Rhinolophus ferrumequinum: one gene and its partner. The protein of the gene in region 1 interacts with the protein of each later gene in a biochemical or structural test. Links are inferred from orthologs where the notes say so. Each region holds a gene or a part of one and is shown on either strand. Other genes may lie near its edges.

Region 1 (10,790 bases):
TGCAGCGAGCTCGGAGCACCGAGCTAGGTCTGCGTCCTGAGCCGACGCGGCTCCGTCTCCACACTTCTCCCTTCCCTCCTCCCCTACTCACGCAATTTGCCCACCTTTCGGTGGATTCAGTAGAGAGCCTCTTCATCTTGCCTGTCTGCTGTGCAGGGAGTCCTTTGTAGAATTATAGCTGTTTAATTTGTTGTAAATTCCAGGGGAGATTTCCAGAGGCTCACCTCACGTCGCCATTTTGATGACGTCTCTAGGGCTCATAGTCTATTCCTTCCAACCTCTCTTCTTCTTCCACAGGCATTGATGAAATACCTCATGTACTGTGAGTTTCCCTGTTAAACCATACTACCAGTTAGTTCTCAAGGGAAGCTTGTCATTTTTCTAAGCTAGTGGTTCATGACCAAGGGGACACATCATAATCACCTGGGAGCTTTTATATATGTGTATATATATGTATATATGCTGTTTCTGCTATCTGGAATACTCTCTCTTTTCCATTCCCTCTTCCTAATTCTCTACCTGTCTACCTCCTACCCATTTTTCAAGGCTTAACTCAAATGTCACCTCCTTTGTGAGGTCTTCCAGGATCTGCACAGGTAAAATGAATTGTTCTCTGATGCTTGTTGCTGTAGCATTTTTCATGTACTGCTACTATAATCATGTATCATTTTGAGTGCTCCTCGTTTATTTTATGGTGTTCTTCTGTGAAAAAGCAAGCTCCTTATGTTTGTTTGAATTCCAAGCCCTCAGCAGAGTTCCTGGCACTTTACTAAAGAAACATGTTTGAAAGAAAAGAAGGGAGGAGAAAAGAAAAGAAAAAGGTAAAGGTGGTGCGGATCAGGCTGGCTCTGGAGCCTAAGCGAAAGTATAAAAAGACATTTTGTCTTCTATTTCTGAGCAAAAATACCACTACACTCCATAGTTGGACCCTTGTAGTGGGTGTCATGGTACTGAATTTTAACTAATCTTAAAATATCGATTTGGCACAGGAAGAAAAATGAGTAGGATAGAAGCTTTGCTTGTCTACAATGTTGAGTTTCTGCCCCAGAAACGTCTGGTAGTGTCTGATAACAGTACTGCAAGGGGTGCCTGTTATTCCCCTGCTCTTTTCATGTTCTCTTGAGTACAGCAGTAGCAAAACTATGAGTTTTTTACCACAGGGTGACAGAACCTCAGCAAGCAAGATGAAAAGTGGTAATTTTACACAACTGCCTTTCTTAGAGGTCCTGGCAACAACTTCCTTTTCCTTAGTGTGAGCTGATGGCATAGTCACTTCCTATTTGGTCTCAACTGCCAGTTTTTTTCCTGTTTTCAACTGCCACCTTTGACTAGAACTGTTTTCTTGAGAAGCCTACAAATTAAAGAACAAGTGGTCAATTCAAGAAATGTTAAAAAGTTAATTCAGAGGGAAAAATATCACCCACATTGGTTATTTAGCATCATTTCGTGGTAACACATGAAAGGCTCTCCTGTAACTAAAAACAGCACACTGGAGAGCACAAAGAAGTTACCTGACTTCATTACAAAGAGCCCAGTCTCCCAAAGAATCTGTCCTAAGAAACTCCCCAGTCTCTTTATGTCCTCCTATGGCAACAGAAAACAACCATTATAGGATGATTTGTGCAGCAAGCAGTGGTTTTGTGACCACTGAAGTGACTGTGAGTGAGCACATGCAGGCTTCTGAGGGCTTTCACCTCCAGCCCAAGGCATCTGAAAATCAACAGTGCAATTCTGTGAGAGTTTAGGCAGTCTGCAAAACTGAAACCAAGGAAGATATCTCTTAACATTCCATCTTTTGACTCCTACCTCTGAATGAAATTATCCTGGCCACATTTAGTTTTTTCAGTTCTGAATCAGTTGGTGAAGTCAAGAAGTTACAAGCTCAATTCTTTTGGTCGCTAAATGCAAATATTTCAAAGTGAGTAAGCATATGTGTAAAGAAATGTTATAAGCAGGAAACCACCTAAGCAGCATCTGCTTCCGCCCACCTCCTCTGTTGCTCTACTCCTGTCAGTAGCATCAGGAAGTACAGCTAGCGAGAAAATTTTGCTGTGCTTAATCTTAGGTACTAGTTTTGTTATAAATGATACTATGGTAGAGTATCGGGTAAGCCCCAAAGGGTGCAAGGTTACTCAGGGAAGCAATTACATAGGTTTAATGCTCCTTGACCAAAAATTGATTCAATAGGTTTTTCTCTTAGGATGCTTTGCTGGAACAATAGCGAATATACAACATCTGCAAGAACTATTATATCACAGTTTCCAACTTGATACTCACAGAGAGTAGAGATTTGAGGTATCACATATGCTTCTATATAAAACAAAAGATAAAAGGGGCCCTTAAATGTTGGACTTCCAAATATCAGTAGAGAGTTCAGTAGCTTGAATCAAAATATTGATGGTGAGCTTCTAGAACTACACAAATAATTTGCTTTAGTTTTAAATATTCAGATAATTGAAAGAAATTCAGATAATTGTATCAATTTGCCCTTACATTTCATATATTTATATAGTTTATACATTTCAATGTGGTTTTTAGCCTCAAAATATGAAAGTACAAAATGTGAAACCCTACCTTTAAATTTTGTGAAGTGGAATAAAAAGTAAAATTTATCTCACGAGGTACACATTTGAAGGCTCCTATGTAATGCCTGGTACATTAGAACATGCTCCATGATTAAACTTTTTTTTGTAAACAAACCATTAAATTTTCTTAAACTTATTTTCTCTTCAATATTATTTTTCATTAAGTAGTATTCACTCTTTGGGGCAGATGATCTATGACTTAGTACAAAAGCAATATAAAAATACTCTTTCATTTCCAGTAACCCTTCGATGTGGCCCAATATCTTGTGGGGATTTTTGGGGGGAGGTGGGGAAGCCACTACATTGAACTGAAATCTTCAGGGAACAGTGATTCCCAAGTCGGTTTCTTGGTTAGTAATCCCTAATGCAAAGAGTGTAGAGCATGGTTTTTCAAACCTTGGCACCATTGACAATTTGGGCTGGGTAATCCTTTGTTGTGACAGCTGTCCTGTGCATGGGAGGATGCTTAGCACCCGTGGCCTCTACCCACTACCAGTAACGCCCTTTCCTCCCCATTTGTGACAACCAATAATGTCTCCAGAAGGCAAAATTACCCCTGGTTGAGAACCACGGCCCTAATGCATTACTGTCTACATTGAGGTTTGTCTGGCCATTTCTGTCTACCTACATTTTAGCTGTGAATCAGTCCATTCAATAAATATTTACAAACATGGGTAAAATTAAATGTTTAATATTGACGGTATGACAAATGTTGGAAATTGAAATCACAGATTATAAATTTAAATTAAGTTTTGTTGGGTTCAAGGACACTGTCTAATTTGGAGTTCACTGACTTCAATTAATCTGTATACAATCTTATTTTATTTATATGGTTATTAAGTGTTCATAGCACTCAGGTCACACCAATTAAGCAGGTACAAAATCTGATTTGAGGCACTATGTTACATTCCATGGGGTTACCAAAGAGCATAATATGTGGTGTCTCTCCTCATGGAACTTTTTCCATCAAGCTATGGGAATACATTGTAATATAGTATTAGACTCTGGGATGATATTTTGAAGTAAAATATTCAAGTGTCCTTTTCTGGGGAGAGTGAAAAAAGCACACTTGAATTTCTTATTTTATTTATATTAAGATATATATATATATATATGCATATATATATATATATATATATATATGAAAAAGCATAAGCAAACCACAAGGAACTCCACGTAAAAACTCAAGTGATCTCTATAAATAATAATAACAGATAGTTTATTTAATAGAAGTAGTCCTAAATAAAGGTCAAAAAGTTTACTAAGATCTCAATAGCAGTGTTTCTAAGGAAACGTCTCAATTGTTCAGGTCTCAAAAGTTAGCATTTAGACTACTACATTCTTACATAACTCTGGCCCAGAATGATGTCAGGGAAAGTCACTTCTCAGATATGCTTAATTTACTTATCTATTAAAATTACACAACTTGCTCTTATGTAGTTGTGAAATTAAAGTAACTGGAAAGAATTTTGGAGACCAAAAAAAAAAAAAAAAAGAATGGTGTCACATATACTAAAGTGAATGATTTAAAGGTTCAGCAAGAGCAGTACGTAGGAGTTTAACCAGGCATCAATAAAACACACAGTATACCAATAATGCACCCACCTATCACTATACTAATCTCAGTGAAGAATTCAAAGGAAATACATCTATTCATTTATTCATTTAACAAATCTCTATTGAGGGCTTACTATGTGCCACACACTCTCCTAGCCTCTGAGGATACAGCAATGAACAAAACAGACAAGAATTTTGCCCACTGACAGTTGCCATCCTACCTGAATAATTCTTATGTAAGAGAAGGTGGATCTCTGGCCTCTAGGACCTAACAATCTTGTTGGGCAGACTAAACAAATGAAATAAGAACAAAACCACAATGTGACTGTGGCTTCCATCGACATGCAAAAGAAGTTTGAAAGGGGGATTAGAGCAAGGAGGATGGCTCAATGGGGGTGAGATTTGAGATGAGCCTCTGAAAGGGGGATTAGAGCAAGGAGGATGGCTCAATGGGGGTGAGATTTGAGATGAGCCTCAAATGATGGAGCTTGATTCAAACCCTTGGTATTCAAAGTGTGTTCTAAGAATCAGCAGTAGTGCCATCACCTGTGAAATTGTTCGCAATGCAGAATCTTGTGCTCACTCTAGAGTTGCTAAATCAAAATTGGCACTTTCAAAAGAATCCCAGGGAATTTCTATGGACATTAAAGTTTAGGTGGCTCTGCAGGTTTTTGGTCAGGCTGGCATTGTTGAGTGTGAGCTGGGTGAGTGGGAGCTAGAGATTGGATTGGGGCCTCTCATCATGTTAGAAGTAATAAGGGCCTGGAATTGGGAAACCAGGAGTAAGGGAAATGCAATTATATCCTCCATCATCTGAATAGATAAGAAAATGTGGTGTAGATACATGATCTGGAATATTATTCAGCCATAAAAACGATGGGAATCCTGCCATTTGCAACAACATGGATGGACCTTGAGGGCATTATACTAAGTGAGATAAGTCAGATTGAGAAAGACAAATACTGTATGATCTCACTTATATGTGGAATCTAAAAAATACCAAACTTATGGAAACAGAGAGTAGATTGGTAGTTGCAAGGGGCAGGGGATGGGGGAAATTGGTGAAGGTGATCAAAGGGCACAAACTTCCAGTTATAAATGAATATGTTCTGGGGACCTAATGTACAACATGGTAACTATAGATAACAATGTTGTTTTGTGTACTTGAAAGTTGCTAACAGAGTAGATCTTAAAAGTTAGAGATACTTGGGTTTGAATTTCCAGCTCTACTTCTTAATTGTGCGATATTTTGTGTCAAATTATTTAAGCTCAACTTTTTCTTCATCTGTAAAATGGGGAGAAAGCAATATGACCTCCCTTGTAAAGATTCAATTAGGTAACACATTGTCCCTGGCACAAAGAAAATGGCATCCATGAATAATAATGATATTGACAATAGTATGCTATCTTTAAAAGGTTCAAAAGGAACAACAACAAAAATATATTAATTGAGTGTCTATTGAGTGGCCCCAATACTGTGTTGTGTACAGACCTATAACAACCTGCAAGGTAGGGAACTTCATCCTCATTTTGAATTGGCACTCAGATATTACATTTTTAAAATGTAATTGACCCCTTGTGGGTTCCCAGAGGTCCCTTCATAATGAGATTCTTGAAATTGCTATTACCATTGTTAATGTTATTAGGGTACTCTCAAAAGACCTTGTCTCCCTCCTGGAGTGGAACATGAAATGGGGTGGAGGCAAGGATTTGCTGGAACCACTGCTGTGTATGCTGAGTTCAATAATATGCACTGCTACCGTACTGATGTTCATCCTCATTAATTTTTCTGCGGACGTACCATCTGTTCTCCAACTTCCCTCTCTATTAAACGTGCAGAACTTGTGATAAACAGAAGCCCCAGTCTGGCCACCCCCCACCAAAGGATAGCCCAAGAGGTAGGTGTAGCCTCAGATTCAGGTCACCTGAAGCATGTCTGGGGGCGAGAGATCCCGAAAGCATCAGAGTGGCTACGGATCTGCCCGGTGGCACGGCCTCAGGCTGGGGAGACCCCCACCGCAGTAATGGGCAGGAGTCCACCGACTCGGTGGCTCTCTGTGCCCCTCTGTGCCCCACCCTCGATCAGATTGGGAAGCCAAGAAGGACTTCCAACACTCTCCAAGTTTTAACTCAAGAAGTCTACGAGGCTGCGTGTGCCCCAGCCTCGTACGCCTGCCTGCAACGTGGCCGCGTCTAGGACGCCCTCATAACCCCAGGTCACCCAAACTTTTCCATTATCTCTCCAGGCCGAGCCGTGTTCCAGGTCCCCCAGGCCCCGGGTTCTCCTCTCCGCGTGCGGGGAGAGTCTTCCCTTCTCAGGCTCCAGCAACCCCAGGCAAACCTCTTCACTCGGAACCTTAGCTCTCCTGACACCGCCCGACTGTGGGGCGGGGGCAGGGCCAACGGAGGAACCGCCCCCAACCGCCTCCCCCGCCAGGCGAGCGGGCGGGTTGCTGAGGCGCCTCCACCTCCTCTTCCTAAAGCGGCTAGGCGCAGACGAGCGGCATCACTCGAGCCCAGGTCTCAGCCACCGCCACATACAGCGCCCCGCATTCAGGAGGAGGAGCAGCAGAGGAGGTGGCGGCAACAGCGGCCGACGGGCGCCAGAAAGGTAGACTGAGTCCCAGGGAGTAGCCCCGCGAACTGCCGACTTCGCAGTCCCGGGCTACGCGCCACTAGCCCAGTAACCCCACTTCTGTGTGTCCTTCCAGGCCCGGGTCGAAAAGCCTGGGAGGGCCGCCGAAATACCCCCGGAGAAGGAGCCAGTCCCAGCCCAAGGCGCCACCGCCGCAGAAGCAGTGCGGAGCAGCCGTCGCCTTCATGGCCCACTCACCGGTGGCGGTCCAAGTGCCCGGGATGCAGGTGAGGAAGCCCAGGCCTGCCCCGCCGCCCATGTGACTACCCCAGAGCCCCGTACGCACTCCTCACTGGGCACCGAGAGGCGGCCTCAGGGCTCCCCCGAAGGCAGGGCCGGGCGCTCTGGCCAGGTGACCTGGGAATTGGGCTCTAAGTGTTTCCTGGCGTTGAGGCTATGCACTACGTTGGGAAGGAGGGGAGGGATTGGGGCGCGCAACGAGGTGAGGATGGGGTGGGGGCGTTATAAAAATAGGCCAGAGCGAGACACCTGCGCCTGCTGAGCGTGGTACCCTTGAGGATTGGAGGCGGGAAGACTTGGGAGAGATGGAGGTGTCTCGGAATTTATCGGGTAAAATGCAATTTGTGCCCCCTGCCAAACACAAGTTGGAGCGGAGCAAGACAAGGGGATGTCGGTGGCGGCGGCATTAAATCGGTCTCTTCCTGTGTGCATAGAGCGAAGTGACTTCTTTTCCCCTTTTGGTGCTGCTTCTTAAGGGCGAAGTTATATCTCCCTACCCCACCTGGCCCAACCCATAGGGCAGCATGAGAAATGTTGGGTCCCATATCAGAATCGCCTAGGAGATGACTCTCCAGCCCCTTCCCCAGCCTTTCCCACAAAATGACTGTTGCATGTTGTTAAGGGAAGCTTTTTGTCCTGGACTGGGGACTGCTGCATGGGACCCAACTTCTTGCTGAAGATCTACCCAGTCCCCCTCCCCGTTATATTTTCATTTTATTAAAGAAGAAATAAGCTATTTTCATACTTTATATGCTGTTATGGTTTTAAATTGGTGCATTTAAAGCTATCTACTAAATGTTACCCAAGTCTACTAACTTTTAAGCATTCACATTTTTTTTTCCTTTGCAAGATAGCCTAAGCAACCCATTTATGAATAACTCAGAGACTAGACACACTAAAGCCTCACTTCCTTATTATGTTCTAAAAATGTGAAAGCAAACTTTTCTCAAGTTCAGACAAAAATGTTTAGTAAATAGCTTATGTTTTAGTATCAATCAAAGAGCTGTGGATGGGGGCCTCAATTTCCTAATTGATGCATGGAATTCATTTTTTTTAAAAAGCAATTGGTCACATTTTATGCATGATCACAAAAGAGTGATTTTTAAGATACTTCCCCCAAAAAGGACCATCTGTGTCTGACACATACCTAACCAAAGACTCTTGTGTATCCTAAGCACCAGGCCTTTTAACTGAATATCGTCTGTGTCGAGTCCCAGGAAGTTGGTGTGTATTTAATAAAAATAAATAAATAAATAAATAAATAAATAAATAAATAAATAAACAAACAAACAAACAGGGAGAAAAAGGGTAATGAGAAATATTAAGGCTTTTAAAAAGGTTAATCCACTCAAGCTTTACAAAATGCCTCAAACTTTCTTCTCAGGCCACCCCCTTCCCTCCCTCTTTCCCCCATCCAGCCTGGCCCACACCCCATTCATTTGGTTCTGTCTTTGATTGTATCATGGGAATTAGAAGCTTGCAATACTAACTATGGTTTTGCTCTGTCTGATGTGGAGGAAAGTGCGAAAAATTTCCCACTGAACCCTCCTTCCCATTATGTGGAGATGTACAGATGTAACATTTGTCTTTGAGGGTTTCCAGGCTTTTCTCTCCATTGTGTACGTTAGCAGAGTGAGTGCCTGCCCTTCAAGTTTGTGATTCTGAAAAACTGTGAGCTAAAGAGAAAATAGTTTCTGGTCTTTATTTCATTTGTCTTGACTTTATTTGATTTATATAGTTTCTAGTCCTTATTTGATTTATATGGTTTAGGAAATGCTTGCTGTTAAGTGTTTCTTATTGCTCCCAGCTTTGTTGAATTATCTGAGTTCCTATCTCTTGAATTTTTAAATGTTAATTAAGGTGGTTTAGAATGTGAATCACGTATTTTAAATGACAAACTCTGCCTTTCACTTTATGCCTACCCAAAGTTGTGATTATTTTGTCCAACCTTAATTTGGAAGAGGCAGTCATCTCAATATTAGCGAAGAGACTTTTTTCATCTTAATGAAAATGGTAAATTCTTAACTTCTCATTTCCATTTTCTTTATAGATGTGGTTCTTAAGCATTTGGTGCAACACAAAACGTTTTCCACAGTTAAAATTGTACAGTACCCTAAAAATAAATTTGATGGCATACAGTGTGACTCTTGAGCCTAGATTTCTTTTACTATTTTGTTCAAAAATATTGCATTTGAGATGCAGAAATACATCATGACCTTGTGAAATTTTCCTAAAATTTTGTTAAAGAGTTAAGAGCACCTTTTTTTAGACCTTTAGAGTAGTAAGAAAACTTGAGTTAGCCATGTGTTCTTGAAATTAATGTATAGTATTTCTACAAATCATGGTGAAGTGATTGACTGGCCTGTAACTTTTTAACAGTTTATTTTAGAGAATTATCAAGATTGATGGAAAAATGATTTTTCCAGAAATAAAAACAAAATTATCCACAGTGTTTTCCTCCCTTCCCCTCCCCCCCAGGAAAGACATGAAGTAAAAGCTGAGCTACCTGTTCTATCACTTAAGACTTCCAGCATTCCTGACTTTCAAACAAAGAAATTTCTGTTGCCACTAGTTTAAAATAGAAAAGAAACTTGGAGTGATGAAAGAAAACCCAGGATTTGGTCCAGTTCAAACTCCTCCTTATGAATTAGTTATTCAAACTCATTGTTGATATTTCTTAATATCATGGTAATGAACATTTTTGCCATATTACACCAAATGTTGAGGATATGAATTTTTTTGTACTTAATCTGTGCTTACTTCTTTAGTGTATAACTAAAAGAATTTTCCATACCAGGAGCTAAACTCTCAAAAAAAATTTTAAAGCACAACTTTAAAAAAATTAACCAATAAACTTGTTCCTTTCCACTCAAATATTTACTCTTTATTGATTTAAAACATGTTTTTTTTCCTTTGAAGTTTTCAGTTATAAATCACACTTGTTTAAGATATTTCCCCTTAGAACCACATTAGTATTTATGAAGACAAGTATTCTAAATTGGTTGTTAAGTCTTTCGTAAAATGTAGGTAGAAACATCAATGTTCAGTTAAATGTTGAATTAGAGTACTAAGTGTTATTATGTTATGCCTATTGTATATAATAATATTAAAATATAATACGATCTAAAAATATAATTTTTTTTAAAGTTCCTGATAAAGAATTTAAAAATTAGCCTTCATGTATCTTTAAATATGATAAACTTGGTACAATTTTTAAATGGTTATTATTTGACGTGTGAGATAGAAATTAAATTTAAAAATTAGTGAACACTTTATTGAAGACTTTTATCTAAGAGGTAGAAAACATTGCCTTGCACTGGTAAATTTAGTTATTGGGTTTTGGGAAGAATACAGAAATATACTATGTGACCTCTGCTCTTCAAGAACTTAAAATGTTGGGAGGTTAAGTCTAGCACATGAAATATCAAATATGCAAAATCTGTGATACTTACTCTATAATAGAATTTCTGACTGGAAGAGATGAAGGCTTACAGAAAGTAAACTGACCCCAGAGGGTTGTTAGGAATCATTTTGGGAAGAGCATTTCCAAGCAGGGAAATATCCTGAGCAAAGGCATGGAGACAGGGAAGAGTACATTCGCAATTTGTGTGTGCACACACAATCTGAGAGTGGGATTAAAATCACTTGGACTATGTATGATACAGAATTCCTCTAGAGAAATAATAAGAGATAAGATTGAAAAACTAGATTGGGTTCAGATTATGGTGGTCTTGAATGCTAGGAAGGATTTTGGCCTTTGCACTAAACATTTC
Region 2 (10,284 bases), on another chromosome or scaffold:
GGTGGGCCTCAGGAGCTGCAGAAACAACCATTCGCTCCTTCTACCTGAACCAGTCCAGCATTAGCATCATCACAGAACTGAGGTCCCGCACCTGGGACGTGCCAGGCTCTGTTCTAAGTACTTTAGACATAGTAGCTCATTTAAGCCCCCTACAATCTCCGCAGATATGGTCTGTATCACTCCTACCCAAAGAATCTAAGCAAGAGAGAAGTGAAGGAGCTTGCCTAGCTACAGAGCCCATAGGAATGAGGGTTCAAGGGTTCAACAATCCAGGGCCTCTGGCTGCACCTGTGCTTTTAACCACTGACTCTTGAGTTCTATAAATGCTGCAGTGGACCTTAACTATAAACACGTAAGCAGAAATCTGTTCATGCTATTCCTACCTTGTGCCTAAATACAGAGCATATATCATCCCCTGTGGAGGGCGAGAAAAGGAGTAACATGTTAATAGCACTCTGTGAAAGAGCCAGCTACACTTCAGACAGAGTTACAAAATAGCAACTTACTAAGATCAAGCTACAAAATGTATATTTTGTTTCTCCAACAAACATTTTATCGAAATCATCAAAGTATTGTGATGTTTTAACATTATCATACTTCACTGGTCATCAACAATTTATGTGCTGGATAACGCTCCCAAGGAGTAATTATAATATAAAACCAAACTGCCACTGAACGTTGGTTAGCTAGATTTTCTCATCTTCATAACTATGCAAATGAAAACGCATACATACACATAAACAAGCAAACACAACCCAACAACTTAAATACTGCATTCTCAGTATGAAAATCTCACGTTCGACACAACGTGTGGAGGATTAGGCGAACAGCACGTGCTGAACATAAACGTGCCGACATAAACGGCCAGGGCGGGCTTTACCTCCCTCCTTTGGGCCACTTCACACCCGACTGGCCTCTTGTAATTCCCTGCATGCCATTCTCCCTTCCTCTGCCAGTTTAGCGTCACAGTTGCTAATAAACCGCAATTCTGCCTTCACTGCACCCCTTCTATCTCAAGTAAAAGCACAGTGGGGCCAGGAAGCTCAGTGAGGCAGAAATGGCACATGGAAGGGACACACACCCAAACCTACACCCTCCCCTCAAAAAACGAAAGTTGATGGCAACAGGCTGTCACTCGTCATTACCATCAGTCCGTCATTCGCCGCCCGGTCCTTCAGGAACTCCTCCTCACAATCCTGGGAAGCCCCGAGAAACAGAAGCAGAACACACATTTTGGCATTTACTCCGACTAGTCTCTTCTACAAATGCTGGTGGTAGTAGAAATACTTGTCTCACCTTGCTCCACCCCCATACTCTGACTGATAAAGGTAGTGACTCGGGTCCAGCTGAACAGTCATTAAAGTGGTGAGACACACAGAGGAAGAACTCTCACATAGTAGAGTAGCTCCATTCCTTCTTTAATTAAGGATGGCTCCAATACCAGCCTTCTCTCCAATAAAAAAACAAAATATAGACTGATGACTAAATTGTTACGCAACTTTTAGGCTGCGTGGTTTGATATGCATTCACACGAATACAAGATCTTTACACTTCAATAATTAAACAACAAAACAAGTCACAAGCAATCTAACCCAGAGGTTCCGAGATCTGATCGTCTTCCTCATAATCTTACCACTCCAAAAAGTTTTATCAACATTTTGCCATTTTCCATATTAATCCACCTATGACACTCCTATTTCTGTAACAGCAGACAACATTCATAGAATCAAATTCCTAATTAAAAGAAGCCATGGAAAACAAAATGGATTTTTAAAATAAAAACACCACCAGAAAGGTAACCAGAATATACTACCTAAAATGAAGTTCTACCATATAATATTGGATTTTATTTTTGCGTGCTGTTGGAATCAGGTGGGGGACAATTTGGATTTGTGTCTGTATTTTTATGGAAGATGGTAAAACTGAATTATCAGTGATCAACCCCTCCTTGAAAAAAGGCTCTTGGGAAGTACAGTAGTAATTACAGAAATCTATAACCTACAAAAATTGATCAAAAGAAAAAACTTTAGTAAATATTCAAAATAAACATTTGTAATATACAAATAAAGATTAAAATAAAACCAAATTATAAAACCAAACCCCATTCTTAAACTGGACTTTCTCAGCTATTCTTTTATGTTGACTTTATGAAAATTTATAGTTTAGCTCAGCATCTCATTTTATATGCCATTAGAAACAGGAAGAGACCTCATTAATATATTTTAGAATGTAAAGCACAAGGGGAAAAACTGGTTTAAAGAACCTGCAGTCTGAAATGAAATAAAGTGAAGTGCCTTGAAATAAAAAAACCAAAGTCCCTTTTGTTACAGCAGCAAATTATTTCTAGCAGCAAAATTATTTCATGACAAATTCTATATTTACTAGAGAAATGCCAATAGAAAACTACATGCATTTAGCCTGAATCTTTGTAATGTCATAATCAAAAGTAGTAGCCTATGTGGACAGCCCTCATTCAAAGAATACTTTGGGGGGTGGGGCATGGGGAGGTAGGAATGGAGGTGCATTAGTGTATGGGAGATATACCAGCTACGAAAGTAATCCTTTTTAATGCCTTTTAGAAAAGTACATCCACTCATATAGCAGAGATGTGTCAGACCTCTTTCCTACCTGCTGGCAAGATGCAGCCCAAGTAATAAACAAGCAATAGAATCTAAATTGTACAAAGAAGTGAATAACTATACTTCAAACAAGAAGTCTTTAGGAAAAACTGTCCACAGGAGCAGTTATTAAGCATGACTACTACATTTTATCTGACATAAATAATACAACCTTGTCAGAAAAAAAATTTAAGACTTCCCTTACTTGGGGGAAAATATTTTTATACGAAGATATTTAATGACAAAAATGCTTAATAAGAGTTATATGTAGTTTAGTTCATTATGTAAAGAAAAAATATAACGCTGAAAAGGAAATATGCAAAAATGTTAACAGTAACCAAATATAAGTGGTAAGATTACAGAAGATAATTTTTAAAAATTTTCCAGTACTTCCTGCATTTTACAACTGCTTTTTTTAAAACTCAAAACAATTGACATTCATTTATCATATAAGCAAACAAAGAAGTAAGTGCTTACAAAACCAACACAGGTTCTAAGCTGCTTCCACAGATCGTATGTTTAGGACTTCAAATACAGCTGCCAATTACTTCCTAGTAATTTCTTAAATGTACAAAATAAAACTAAAGACTTTTGCTCCTGGTTCTCCTATAACGATTTTCATTACTAAAAATTAATTTAAAAAAATGAACCTTTCCATAAAAAGGTTCTATGTCACTTTCTATCTCAGAATATTAGTAACAATTTGATTTTGAAAATCATCAATTTAGATTGCTTTACATAAATGCCATCTCAAAGAGGTAAATTATGTTCAGCTGAGTAATTCCAAAGTTTAGACACCTAACACACAGTGCAAGAAGTTTTGATGCAGTTTAGTGAACTGCACCAACAGAAATGCCTTATGTGCAGACGAGCTTATTTTAAACACATCTTTCCATTACCTCCAAGAGCCTGACATCTAAGGAAGCTTTTTGCAAAAGGTTCTTTGCTTGGCCTGGACATGGATTCATTTGAATATCCCGGAAGCTGTCAAAATCGATCTCAAACTGCATTATATTCAAGACACAGAATGTCAACTCTGTACTGGGCCTCCTCCTCTCCTTTCTTTCACAGCAGCGCCTTCAATATCCCGACTAGCTTACATTTCCGGGCTCATGAGTCACTGAGAAATGAGTTCTAGGTTTCCCTTAAACAGCTCCTTTCTAGCATTCAAGGATCTGGCCCCCAAATACCTCTTCAGCCCACCCCCACTTCCCACCATGGGCCTAAGCAACAAACTGAGTTATCCACTATTTCTAGCCTATGCCTTTTTACCTTTGTCCTCTAGCTCTGCTGCCCCTCCACATACCGTCTCTTCTGCAGCCCTCCTCTCACAAATCCTTTCGAGTCTTCAAAACCGCCTTAGGCACCGCCTCGCCCAGGAAGCCTTCCAGATTTCTGCTAAGCGGAAGTGATCGATCAATCGGTCCAGTCTTCCCTGGGTTCCTTTCTAGCACCTTGTAGTTCTTTCACTGGACTTATCGTCTCCTTCCAGGTATCGTGTTATCTGTGTACTAGTCTTATCTCCCATACCAGAGCTTAAACTCCTTGGGGGAGGCGACCGCGGCCCCGGGTTCACCTTTGAATCCCTCCGGTGCGGACCGACCACGGCGCCTGCACGCAGTCAGCGCTCAGGCTGTTTCAACCGAACTCGGGAACGCTCTGGCCGCACAATTCCTAACCAGAAATCAGTTAGGCATTTTCCCGAAAGGGACATCACAGAGATGCTACCTGCCTCCAGATAACAGAAAGTTTACCAGGGGCCAGGAGCGAGGTGGCCGGAGCCCGTGTGCGGTGGGAGTGACAGCTGAGCCGGCCCGCACTTCTTTGCCCTCCGTACTCCGGCCGGGGACGCCCCGAGCCGCCAGCCCCGCCGGAGAACGGCAGAGGGGTGGCAGGAGAGCCCGGGGCTCCCAGACCCCGGCCGCAGGCCCCCGGGCGCCGCGCGGGCGAGAGCAAAAGGGCAAGCCTCCGCGAGGGGCCTGAGCTGGCCCGGGTCGGGCCGCCGCGGCCACCCGAGAAAATGGAGGCAGCCCCGGGGCCGGTGACGGGCCGGGGCAGGGCAGGCGGAAGCCGGGCCGGCGTCCGCGCCGCGAGCTGGGCAGGGCCGGGGGTCACTCACGGGGCTGGGCCGAGCGGCTCCCTCTCCGCCTCCGCGTCGTCGCCGTCCCCGTCCTCGGCCGCCGCCGCGTCGGGCTGCTCGCTGGGTCCCCGCGGCGCGGCTCCGGTGCTCGGCCCCTCCGTTGTCTTCCGCCTGCTTCGACTCCCGGCGACGGGCTCCCGCGGCGGCGGCGGCGGCTGCGCGGGCGGACGGCGGCCCAAAGGCTCCCGCGGCGGCCGCCGCACTGCTGCGCTCGATCGCCCGGGTTGCGGCTGCGGCTGCGGCTGCGGCTGCTGCAGGACCCGGCGCCGCCTTTGCCTTCGCCTACCCCCGGTTCCCCGACTCTCGGTCTCTCCCAGGCCGCGCCGCTCCCCGCTCCCGGCCCGAGCCCGGCTTTGACGTGCGCACTGCGCAGCCTCCCAGGGCGCGACGTCGGGCGGCGCCGCAACGCCCCCTTTGGCCTCGGGCGCCCCCGGGCGTCCGGGAGGACTCAGGGCGCCGGTGTGCGCGCGGAGGACGAAAAGGGAGGGGACACAGAAAAGCAGAAGCCGAGGAGAGGAGTTCCTTTTCTTTCATCTGCCACTTAAATGTGGGTGCTCAGCCCCCTTCTAGTCTGTCTAAGCACGCTTCCTGGAGGAATCTCACGTCCATTTTCTACGACCACTTCCTCAACTCTTAACAAAGCTTTATTTCTGCTCAAGACGAAGGGCCAACTTTGTGTAGACCCAATCTGTCATACTTGCGTGGGACAGATCATTCTCATTTTAGCATCCTCTGAGAGAGAGCGTGGAAAGTGATGGAATGATCCAGATTAATAGCATTCAACAGCGGATTTAAACCCCAGCTCCACTCATTTAGTCCCCACGGGCCGTTTCCTGTCCCTATACCTGGGTTTCTTCACATCAACGCGCGCACAAAAGTGTAATACAGGACCATAGGCTTATGAGGACGAGCGAGAAAATGAATTCCAAAGCCCAGAGAGCAGAGCAGAATCTGGTACATAAAAATATCATCCATGTGTATTTTTGTTTCTGTTGCTTTGTTTGTTTTTAATTTGTAATTGAACAGGTATTTTCGAGCATCTACTGTGTGTCAGGCACTATTTTAAGGGGTAGGGCAGTGAACAACACAGTCCATGCTCCCGAGACAAACAATAAACAAATAAACCAGCACAAGCATGACCTTGGATGGTTTTCAGTGCTATGGAGAAAAACAACATAGGCCAAGGAGGGGAGAGAGGGCAGGGTATGACTATTTATAGCTCTCCTACAGGGAACAGCTACATGAAGAGCATGAGGTGAACTATGTGGGATGCTTGGGATGGCAGAGGGAACAGCAAGGACCACCGCTGGGAGCTGGGAGCCCAGGAGCCCGGCAAGGCCAGACTCCTGAGGGAGGGAAGAGGGCAGAAACAGTAGAGGGTGGAAACCCTACAGACTGAAAGGAGAACTTGGGTTTTTAGTCTGAATGAGATGAGAAGCTATTTGAAGAGTGTTGAGCAGAGAAAGGATGTGGTCTGACATTTCAAAAGGATCGCTCTGGTTGTGTGAAGACCAGCCTGAAGGATGTCAGGGTGTCAGCCATCCTGTTAGAAAGCTTTTGAAATAATCCAGTGCACAGAAGACAGGTCCAGCATGGTAGCTGGGAGGGGTAAGGAAGTGGTTGGGTTCTAGACACTTTTAAAAGGTAGAGCTGACAGGATTTTGCTGATTTCTAAGGGTTTTTTTGTTTGTTTGTTTGTTTGTTTGTTTTTCTCAAGCAACTGGAAGATACAATTTGGTGAAATGGGGACGACTTAAAGAGAAGCAGATGTGAAGGGAGGAACTCTGGAATATATTTGGGGGCATATTAATTCTGAACTACTTGCTAGACATCCAAGACATCCAAGTAGGAAGCTGGATATAGAAGTCAGGGTATGGATGAGACGTCCATACCTGGAGAAAGAATTTTGGGAGTCCTCAGAGTAAGTAAAATCTCAACACTCAATGAAATCATTTAGGGAGTGAGTGTTAATAAAGGGCAAAGCCAAGGATGAGCCTGAGGTGCCAATGCTGAGGTCAGGGAGATGGCAAGGAACCAGCAAAGGATTCTGAGGAGAGGAGCTAGGGTGGCGGGAGGAGGAGACCCAGGAGACTGTATGTACTGGAAGACCAAGGGGTGGAGGACGGATCAATGCCACTGATTTTGACTAATAGTTGAAGTAAGGTTGGTGTTGGTGACTGGTCATTGATGGCAGTGTCATAGAGGTAACTAGTGGCCTTGGTAAGAGCTGTTTCAGCAGGGGTGGGTGGAAAAGCCTGATTGGAGTGGTCTTTGGAAAGAATGTGAGACCCAGAAAGATGTCTAGAAAGAATGGGGCTCTAGGAAGAGAGAGACTATGAGTATAAACAACTTTTCCATGAAGTTTTATTCTAAAGAGGAGGAAAGAAATTTGATGGTAGGTGAAGGAGAATATGGAGTCAAACAGATTTTTTTGTTGTTGTTTTATTTCTCTTTTTCATTTTCGCTTTTAGGATGGAAGCTATTACAGCTGGCTTAAGTGCTGATGGGAGTGATTCAAGTAGTGAGGGAAAATTTGATGGGAGGGGCCACATTTTCTGGAGAGCTGTCCTTGAGTGAGCAAGAAGAGAAGGTTGCAGGGAACAACAGAGGGTCTGGCCTTGACACCAGCAGGACGGCCTTCACTCACAGGGACAGAGGGCAGGCAGATTGTGGGCTCAGAGGCAGAGAGCCCGATGGACGAGGAGCTGGAACAGGTGTCTGTTCCCTTCTGAGGGTTTCTATTTTCTCAGGGAAATGGGAAGCAAGGTCATCAGCTCAGAGTGTGGAGGGGGAGGAGCTGTCGGAAATTTGAGGGAAGAGGAGAAGGTGTAAAGAAGGACCAGTCAACAGGGCTCACATTTTGTTGGGAAGGTGCAGGCGCAGGAAGGTGGGGAGCTGGATTCAACCAGGGCTATTTTTGTTAGGTAACTCCATGGAGCAAGAAAGGACAAAGGAAGGAGAGGGTATATGCAAGGAAGTAATAATAATAATGGCCAACTGTTGAATCCAAGCCAGACTGGAGGCCGTGAGGAAATGGGGGGCGGAGGTGGGGGCAGTGAAAGGGGAGAAACCCTGTAAAAGTGGTATGATGGGTGAAAGGATTGTTGGAACTAGCACAGTAAACAGAGTGAGCTAGGATGAAGGATCTGCTGGCTGGAGAGCCAGGCTGCTTATACTGAAATTAGGACAGGAGCAGTTTTCAGTAAATAACAAGGCTTGGGGCAGCTTCTCAAACTCTAATGTCGGTGTGCATTACCGGGGAGCATGTTGAAATGCAGACAGTGGTTTCATTGGTCTGGGGGAGGGGAGCCCGTTATTCTGCATTTCTAACAAGTTTGGAGATGAGGGTGGGAGGGTGCTGATTATTCTTCTTCTGGTTGTAGTCTTGATAGCAAAACCTCGATAAATGCGACCCCCAAAAAAAGAAAACTACAGCAATCTTGCTGGTGAATATATAGGGAAAACCAAAATAAAAAGTTTGAATATAAGTAAAATAGCAGCATTTTAAAGGTCAAGTCTGTCCCACCATGGACAATTTATCAAGCATATTAGAAGCTGTTAGAAGAGCCATAGCTGTCTAGTGTCTGTCTAGGCCCAGAGAGAAATCAGCTGACGAAAAGTCCTGAGCAAGCTGGTTCCCGAAAAGCAAAGACTCTTTAGTGACCGCGGAAGGGAGGTGCTGGGCCCTTTTGAGTGAGCAGACTACAACAAGTTTTATCTAATTTTGAAACTTTGTTCAGTAAGGACTTTAACCCCACAGCTTTTTTTTTTTTTTTAAGATGAGAGAGTTCTTTTTCATTGTAGTCCCAAAGGGAGACCTTTATTGTGCTGACATCCCACAAAAATAAGTCAAGACCCAATTTCCCACAGACTAAAAGAACGCATGGGGGTGGATAATCTCATATGCAAGGTTTTGATTCCTTTGCTATAAGGGTCTGAACTGGATTCCAGATGAATCTCTTAACTGGGATAAACCAGCCCATTATAGCTGAGAATTGTAGCAGCAAGACGGCAGACATTTCTGGAACAAATTCTGAAGCCAAAGCATAAGGACCCCTGTCATTTGACCACTTGAATTTACTCTGGGGAAGACACCGTTCTCCCTCCTTTCCCTGGGCTCTCTGGAAAGCCCATTCTATTCATATGTTACTTTGTAGGCACGACCTCTTTCTGAGAATTTCCTCCACCTCCTCTTCTTGAAACCCTCTCCACAGAGGCTCCTCACTTTCCCCTCCTGATCTCAAGGTCATAGGCAAGGTCATCATTTTCTGGAGTTAGTGTTGGTCCTGTGTAAATCTTCCATCACTCTCATTTCCCTTCCTCTCCTCCACTGAAGCTGGGCCACAGGATGAAGGCACCTCCCTGCCTCAATCACACCACCTGTGAAAGGACTTTAGCGCATGATTCACAGCTTCCTTCTCCACCCTACCCTGTGCCTGACTTCTCCTGGGCAACATAAGTGCCACTCGTCTAATATGTTGGGTCATAGTTCCCTCATATTCTCTGCCCCAGTGATCCTCACTTCCACTCCACGTCAACAAGCACTTGCTTAGCCCCACCCTGGTCTGTCAGTCACCACTACTGTACCTTTGAAGCTTGAACTCTAAAACTCTCCTGCTTAATTGCTCCTCCCACAGCTGTAAACCCACCAAACCTGCTCTAAAGCTCATTGCATCTTTGTTTATTCAACAAATACTTATTGAGAGCACATAATTACTGGGCACAAGCAGTCTGGCTGAGACATTGAACAGCACACAGTCCCTGCTCTCAATGAGCTTGCAGTCCAGGAGAGTCAACAGGCAATTACAGAAGAGTAAGACATGAAGCATGAGTAAGATTTAGCCAGTTGAAGATGGGAGTAAATGTTCAAGGAAAATCATGGCAATAGCGCCAAAAGCTGGAAAACACAGTGAATTTGAGTAGTTCAATCTATAGAGCTTAGAGCTGGAGCTTGAGGAGGGGAATTTTTTTTATTGCTAGTTCTCCCCACCTCCAGCTTTACTGAGCTATTATTGACATATAACATATGTACGTTTAAGGTGTACAATGTGAAGATTAGCAACATGTTTGTATTGGCAAATGATTACCGCAGTGAGGTTAGTTAGCACCTTCATATCCACACGTAATTACGATTTTGGGTGTATGTGTATGGTGATAATATTTAAGAGCTACTCTCTTACTAACATTCAAGTCTATAGTACAGTATTGTTGGTTATAGTCACCATGCTGTACATTAGATTCCTAGACCTTATTTATCTTCTAGCTGGGAGTTTGCACCCTTTGACTAGACATCTCCCCATTTCCCTCACCCGCAGCCCCTGGGAACCACCATTCTACTCTCTATTTCTATGAGTTCAGTTCTTTTATTTTTTATTTTATTTTCCTCCCTTCTTCTGCCTCCCCCCCAACTCCAGTTCAAGCTGTTGTTTCTCAGTCTAGTTGTGTAGGATAGGACACAGCTCCCTGGCCCACGCTGGTGTTCTGAGCCTTGTGCTGTCCCCCCCACCCCCATGAGGCAGTCGGTCG

The links. The genes of interacting proteins can lie anywhere in the genome.
Region 2: the proteins of STK26 (region 1) and CAB39 are reported together in a solved structure, tested with the Homo sapiens proteins (2 studies listed by IntAct, with this or other methods). The link is inferred for Rhinolophus ferrumequinum from reciprocal best matches to the Homo sapiens genes STK26 and CAB39.

Annotation. Positions count from the first base shown.
Region 1 is NC_046284.1:23,858,481-23,869,270, reverse strand, and holds the start of STK26 (serine/threonine-protein kinase 26), read left to right. Parts: upstream 1-6,598; 5' UTR 6,599-6,753; intron 6,754-6,853; 5' UTR 6,854-6,962; coding exon 6,963-7,004; intron 7,005-10,790. UniProt on the Homo sapiens protein: Serine/threonine-protein kinase that acts as a mediator of cell growth. Modulates apoptosis. In association with STK24 negatively regulates Golgi reorientation in polarized cell migration upon RHO activation.
Region 2 is NC_046291.1:7,494,724-7,505,007, forward strand, and holds the start of CAB39 (calcium-binding protein 39), read right to left. Parts: upstream 5,103-10,284; 5' UTR 4,738-5,102; intron 1-4,737. UniProt on the Homo sapiens protein: Component of a complex that binds and activates STK11/LKB1. In the complex, required to stabilize the interaction between CAB39/MO25 (CAB39/MO25alpha or CAB39L/MO25beta) and STK11/LKB1.